Linked DNA regions of Macaca mulatta. The protein of the gene in region 1 purifies or fractionates together with the protein of each later gene. This does not show direct contact. Links are inferred from orthologs where the notes say so. Each region holds a gene or a part of one and is shown on either strand. Other genes may lie near its edges.

What was found.
Region 2: the proteins of DNA2 (region 1) and MMS19 purify together in Homo sapiens (affinity purification with mass spectrometry; 3 studies listed by BioGRID and IntAct, counting the BioPlex papers as one, with this or other methods). This does not show direct contact. The link is inferred for Macaca mulatta from reciprocal best matches to the Homo sapiens genes DNA2 and MMS19.

What each region holds. Positions count from the first base shown.
Region 1 is NC_133414.1:81,344,544-81,348,194, forward strand, and holds part of DNA2 (DNA replication ATP-dependent helicase/nuclease DNA2), read left to right. Parts: coding exon 1-58; intron 59-150; coding exon 151-240; intron 241-325; coding exon 326-530; intron 531-3,651. UniProt on the Homo sapiens protein: Key enzyme involved in DNA replication and DNA repair in nucleus and mitochondrion.
Region 2 is NC_133414.1:109,521,459-109,525,109, reverse strand, and holds part of MMS19 (MMS19 nucleotide excision repair protein homolog), read left to right. Parts: intron 1-2,163; coding exon 2,164-2,250; intron 2,251-2,807; coding exon 2,808-2,882; intron 2,883-3,278; coding exon 3,279-3,356; intron 3,357-3,651. UniProt on the Homo sapiens protein: Key component of the cytosolic iron-sulfur protein assembly (CIA) complex, a multiprotein complex that mediates the incorporation of iron-sulfur cluster into apoproteins specifically involved in DNA metabolism and genomic integrity.

The DNA of each region.
Region 1 (3,651 bases):
TTGTGTTAGTGGGGGATCATCAGCAGCTTCCTCCCCTGGTGCTAAACCGTGAAGCAAGGTAGGCAGACATTTAAGTGTTAATTTTGAACCAGATTCTTTTCAAGGAGTATATTTAGTACACTGATAAATCTGAATCTGATTTGTTGACAGAGCTCTTGGCATGAGTGAAAGCTTATTCAAGAGGCTGGAGCAGAGTAAGAATGCTGTTGTACAGTTAACCGTGCAGTACAGAATGAACAGGTATTTGTAACAGTGTTAGCTGGGAGTGGTTTTCATATTTGTTTCCGTCTGCTGAAACTAACATTATCTTTTGTAATTCCCTTAGTAAAATTATGTCCTTAAGTAATAAACTGACCTATGAGGGCAAGCTGGAGTGTGGATCAGACAAAGTGGCCAATGCAGTGATAAACCTACCTCACTTTAAAGATGTGAAACTGGACCTGGAATTTTATGCTGACTATTCTGATAATCCTTGGCTGATGGGAGTATTTGAACCCAACAATCCTGTTTGTTTTCTTAATACAGACAAGGTAAAAAAAAATTTTTTCTCTTTAGTTTTTGTCATTTTGTCTTATTATTTAAATTTCTCAGTTTGCATTAGCATATGCCCTGATTAGAGCTTATCAGTTAAAAGGCAAAACTAGGCCGGGCACGGTGGCTCACACCTGTAATCCCAGCACTTTGGAAGGCCAAGGTGGGCGGATCACAAGGTCAGGAGTTCAAGACCAGCCTGGCCAACATGGTGAAACTCTGTCTCTACTAAAAATACAAAAATTAGCTGGACATGGTGGCAGGCGCCTGTAATCCCAGCTACTCAGGAGACTGAGGTATGAGAATTGCTTCAACCTGGGAGGCAGAGGTTGCAGTGAGCCGAGATTGTGCCAATGCACTCCAGCCTGGGTGACAGAGTGAGACTCCATCTCTGGGGGGATAAAAAGGCAAAACTAATGTACTTCTCACACTTCAACCCAAAATAGTCTTTTCTTTCTTTTTCCTTTCTTTTTCTTTTTCTTTTTTTGAGACACAGTCTTGCTCTGTTGCCCAAGTGGCACGATCTTGGCTCACTGCAACTTCCTCCTCCCAGATTCAAGCGATTCTCCTGCCTCAGCCACCCAGGTAGCTGGGATTACAGGCACCCACCACCACACTGGCTAATTTTGTATTTTTACTAGAGATAGGGTTTCATCATGTTGGCCAGGTTGGTCTTGAACTCCTGGTTTCAAATGATCTGCCTGCTTCGGCCTCCCACAGTGCTGGGATTATAGGTGTGAGCCAATGTGCCTGGCCCGAAATAGTCTTTCTTTCTATAGGTTGAATATTTTTGGGGGGAGGTTTATTCTGGAGGTCAGTAGATGTCAAAATTGACTTTTGAAGAAGGAAAGCCACAAAGTGAACTCAAGGATATAATTCTATTTCCTAGAAAAGGAATTTGCACTGATACTATCAAAGGGCTGGGTTTACAAATGGACAGTGAGTATAATAAATCGATGTCCTTTTAAAGACTTTTTAAAAAATAGACTTTAAGGCCGGGCACAGTGGCTCATGGCTGTAATCCCAGCACTTTAGGAGGCCGAGGTGGGTGGATCACCTGGGGTCAGGAGTTCGAGACCAGTCTAGCCAACATGACGAAACCCCATCTCTACTAAAAATACAAAACTTAGTTGGGTGTGGGGCGCCTGTAGTCCCAGCTACTTGGGAGGCTGAGGCAGGAGAATTGCTTGAACCTGAGAGGCGGAGGTTGTGGTGAGCTGAGATCACACCACTGCACTCTAGCCTGGGTGACAGAGTGAAACTCCGTCTCAAAAAAAAAAAAAAAAAAAGGTTTTATTTTCTTTTGGAACAGTTTTAGGTTCATAGCAAAATTATGTGGAAGGTACGGAGGTTTCTTATAACCTCCCTCCCCCACAAATGCACACGAAGACCTTTTTACAAACCAATCATTAAACAGAAATCTGCATAAGGACTTTTTTTTTTTTTTTTTTTTGAGACAGAGTCTTGCTCTGTCACCCAGGCTGGAGTGCAGTGGTGCAATCTCAGCTCACTGCAATGTCCACCTCCCAGGTTGAAGCAATTCTGCCTCAGCCTCCCAAGCAGCTGGGATTACAGGCAAACACGACCACGCCCAGCCAATTTTTTGTATTTTTATTAGAGACAGGGTTTCACCATGTTGGTCAGGCTGGTGTCAAACTCCTGGCCTCAAGTGATATGCCCTCCTACACTGCCCCAAGTGCTAGGATTACAGCCGTGAGCCACGGCGCCTGGCCTTTCACAAGGACTTTAAATGACTTGATTGTTATTTCTGGGAACTAAGAATTAAGTTTTTACCCTATATTTCTACATTTTGCTTTATGTAGTGTTTCTCAGCATTGAGTTGGAAGTCTTTACATAAGTTCAAATAAAAATATAGTAACCATCTGGGCTTGGTGGCTCATGCCTATAATCCTGCAACTTTGGGAGGCTGAGGCAGGAGAATCACTTGAGGCCAGGAGTTCAGGGCCAGCCTGGGCAACATAGTGAGACCCTGTTCCTAAAAAAAAGAAAAAAAATTTCTTTATAAAATTATCTAGATGTGCCTGGGCATGGTGGCTCATGCCTGTAATCCCAGCACTTTGGGAGGCTGAGGCAGGCGGATGATTTGAGTTCAGGAGTTCAAGACCAGCCTGACCAACACGGTGAAACCCTGTCTCTACTAAAAATATAAAAAAATTATCCAGGTATGGTGCTTGCCTGTAGTCCCAGCTACTCAGGGGGCTTGAGGTAGGAGAATCGCTTGAACCTGGGAGACAGAGGTTGCAGTGAGCCAAGATCACGCCGCTGCACTCTAGCCTGGGCGACAGAGCGAGACTCTGTCTCCGAACTTAAAAAAAAAAAATTATCTGGTGTGGCATTGTGCACCTGCAGTCCTAGCTACTTAGGAGGCTGAAGCAGGAGGATCACTGAATTCCAGAGGTTGAAGCTGCCGTGAGCTATGATTGCACCACTGCAATCCAGCTTGGACAACAGAGCAAGACCCTGTCTCAAGAAAATAAAATAAGGATATAGCAACCAATTATATGAGCATATTACTCTAAAATCATTGTCTCCTGTTATTAAGATGGATGGCTGGCGGCCGGGCTCGGTGACTCATGCCTATAATCCCAGCACTTTGGGAGGCCAAGGCAGGCAGATCACCTGAGGTCGGGAGTTTGAGACCAGCCTGACCAACGTGGAAAAACCCCATCTCCACTAAAATTAGCCGGGTGTGGTGGCACATGCCTGTAATCCCAGTTACTTGGGAGGGTGATACAGGAGAATTGCTTGAACCCAGGAGGCGGAGGTTGCAGAGAGCTGAGATTGCACCATTGTACTCTGGCCTGGGCAACAAGAGTGAAACTGTCTCAAAAAAAAAACAACAACAGATGGATGGCCGGATTGGGTGGCTCATGCCTGCAATCCCAGCACTTTGGAGGCCGAGGCAGGCAGATCACCTGAGTTCAGGAGTTTGAGACCAGCCTGACCAACATGGTGAAACCTCGTCTCTACCAAAAATACAAAAATTAGCTGGGCCTGGTGGCGCACGCCTATAATCCCAACTACTCAGGATGCTGAGGCAGGAGAATCGCTTGAACCCAGGAGGCTGAGGTTGCAGTGAGCCGAGATCACGCCACTGCC
Region 2 (3,651 bases), about 28 Mb from region 1:
ATCATAGTGGATCTGATCAATTTAGGGTTCAGTTTCTTCACTATGCTTATATGCTCACTCTAAGAAGAGGCTGGCAAACTTTTTCTTTCTTTTTTCTTTCTTTTTTTTTTTTTTTTTTTTTTTTGAGGCAGGCTGGAGTGTAGTGGCACCATCACGGCTCACTGCAGCCTCCACCTCCCTGGACTCTGGTACTCTGGTGATCCTCCCACCCCTGCCTCCTGAGTAGCTGGAACTATAGGCACACGACACTACTCCTGACTAATTGTCGTATTTTTCTATAGAGACAGGATTTTGCCTTGTTGCCCAGGCTGGTCTTGAATTCCTGGGCTTCCACCTGCCTTGACTTCCCAAAGTGTTGGGATTACAGGCATAAGCCACCATGCCTGGCCAACGTTTTCTATAAAAGGCCAGACAGTAGCTTTGTGGGTCATATGGTCTCCTCAACTCTGCTGTTACTGCACAAAAACAGCCTTAGAGACAAGAACAGCTACAGTAGCTATATCCCAATAAAACTTTTATTATCAACACTAAACTTTGAATTTCATATAATTTTCACTTGTCACAAGATATTCTTTTGGTTTGTTTCAAACATTAAAAATGTTAAAACCATTCTTAGCCAAACAATGTCAACAGGTTGATTTTTACTCCTAATGCAGAGTAGATATTGGATCTTCCTTCACCGTCATCCTAGATTCCCTTATCATTTTTCTTGGATCAGATCTCCTATTTCCTGAGTTCACATATTCCTCATTTTGTGGTTTACCCCCTCAGTTTGGTGGTGTACTTCCTTTAGTATTTTCCTGTGAGAATGTAGGAAGAAGTGAGGATTTTTTAGATTTGTAAGCCTAAAATGTCTTCAATCTTTTCTCTCATTTTTGACATTATGGGTATGTAATTCAGGAATAGAAATTCTAGGCCAGGTGCAGTGGCTCACACCTGTAATCCAAGCACTTTAGGAGGCTGAGGTGGGAGGATCACTTGAGGTTAGGAGTTCGAGACCAGCCTGACCAACATGGTGAAATCCCGTCTCTACTAGAAATACAAAAATTAGCCAGGCGCGGTGGCAGGCGCCTGTAATCCCAGATACTTGGGAGGCTGAGGCAGGAGAATTGCTTGAACCTGGGAGGTGGAGGTTGCAGTGAGCCAAGATTGAGCCACTGCAGTCCAGCATGGGTGACGGAGTAGGACTCCATCTCAAAAAAAAAAAAAAAAAAAAAAGTAAATCCCTTCTTTTACTGTGTTTTTGGTGGAGTTTGCGAAGAGGAAAAGGAAAACCTGATTTATGTTTTCAATCTGTCGTCTTGGTACAGAAACCATCAAGGCTTTCTGTTTTCAGAATTACAGCTTTTTATAAGGGTGAAAAAAATGGAAATGTCCATCAACAAGGAATTATTTAGATAAACTAGTACAACCACAAAATGAAATCATAGCCACTAAAACTAATGCTATGAAAGAATAATACCATAAAAATGTTCTTAATATGTTAAGTGAAAAAAATTAAAAACTGCATGTACAAAATTATCTTTAAGTATACAGAAACAGTATATACTAGCACATAGTAACAATATATATCAGAGAAGAAAGCAATACACGAGAAAGTTAAGCATGCTTATCTCTTAGTGGTGAAATGATAGAAAAATGTGTAATCAGATCTTTAAAAATGCCTAAAGATAAAAGTTCCCAGGCCGGGCGTGGTGGCTCAAGCCTGTAATCCCAGCACTTTGGGAGGTCGAGACAGGCGGATCACGAGGTCAGGAGATCAAGACCATCCTGGCTAACACGGTGAAACCCCATCTCTACTAAAAAATACAAAAAAAAAATTAGCCAGGCGAGGTGGCGGGCGCCTGTAGTCCCAGCTACTTGGGAGGCTGAGGCAGGAGAATGGCGTGAACCCGGGAGGCGGAGCTTGCAGTGAGCCGAGATCCAGCCACTGCACTCCAGCCTGGGCGACAGAGCGAGACTCCGTCTCAAAAAAAAAAAAAAAAAGTTCCCAAGGAATACATAAAAGGTCAAGCATGTCTTCTTGCTGAGGCGTCATTATCTTACTGTCTTCCCTGATTGGGTATGAGTATCACCCTGTTCTACAGGGTTACCAGGTTCAAGCCTGGGTTCAAGGGTGGTCTGAAATGTTACACAAACCCACAGCCCTTCTCCCTTTTCCAGCCACCTAATGACCCCCATGGTATCCAGAGAGAAGACCTCATCCTGAGTCTTCGCGCTGTGCTGGCTTCTACACCACGATTCGCTGAGGTGGGTCTAGCCAAATTAAGGTGTATAGCCTCTGCCAATAGAAGGTTCTGAAGAAAGAGCAGTAAAAGCATGGAGAAAAAAAGATCTGGTATACATTTTAGGGCATGACACCCTACAAGTGTCTTATGTGGCAGGTATCTTCAAACCTTCGATACAGAAAACTTTAGCATCTCTTCATAATCCAGAGCTGGATTCAGTGGCGCACACCTATAGTCCCAGCTACTCAGGAGAGTCTGAGTGGAAAGGATCACTTAAACCCAGGAGTTCAAGTCCAGCCTGGGCAACATAGGGAGACCCCGTCCCCTCTTACACAAAATAAATAAATAAATAAATAAACCCAATCCCTATATGGTGCTGTCTTTTAAAATCCTGTAACTTTGTCAGCTTGCCTGTTTTTGAGGTAGTGGGGCTCTGGCCACTGCTTGGCAGGAAGTTAGCTCACATTCATAGCTCCTGACTTCAGTATAGCTCCTTGATAAGTAGTACCTGCTTCTGAGGACTTGATGTGACTGACATACTACCCATCTCAGGCTTAAGATCTTGCTTCTGTCCCACAGTTTCTGCTGCCCCTGTTGATTGAGAAAGTGGATTCTGAGGTTCTGAGTGCCAAGTTGGATTCTCTACAGACTCTGGTGAGTGATTTTTCTCCTTGCAGGACCCAGCTACCTTTTGACAAGTTAGGGGTACTAAAGGATATAGATTCTTGGATAGCCAAGGAACAGTTCATGGGCCTCAGAAGAGGACACCCAGGATTTGGGCCTCTGTGTCGACCTGAAGCCCCCAGCTGCATATTGTCGTGTCCCATCCCATAGTAACTGAGGAAAGGCTGACCAGCACTCCCTCTTAGGCTTCTATTTTATCAACCAGGGTAATCTCCTATTTTTCTGTTCCCTGAGTAGGACTGTTAAAAATCTTCACTGGTTTTTCTGCTGAGACCAAGGCTCCTCCAGGTGTCCTTATGCTGAGGTACCTGCACATCCTAGGTGTCTGAGTGTGCACATAACTGATAGCAGCGGTTTCCTTGGCAGAATGCTTGCTGTGCTGTGTATGGACAGAAGGAGCTGAAGGACTTCCTCCCCAGCCTTTGGGCTTCTATCCGCAGAGAGGTGAGTGTTACTCAGATAAATTCACTGCTATTAACTCTCAATTGTCAGGCATGAGGGGAAATAATACATCCTGTCCTTTTCCCTCTGTCATCCCCAGGGCCAAGGTATTATGCCTGGTTATTCAGGAGGCAAGCAGGGGGACATAATTCTAGTTGAATGACGAGAGAGAGTCCCTATGTGACAGTCAGCTGCTTGGTAAGAGCAGTTGATCACCTTTGCACATTACCCACTTCTTGTCCTTCTGTGGCAAGGAGTGCAGGTTATGGTGCCTCTGACACCGTGGTGAATAGAAAGG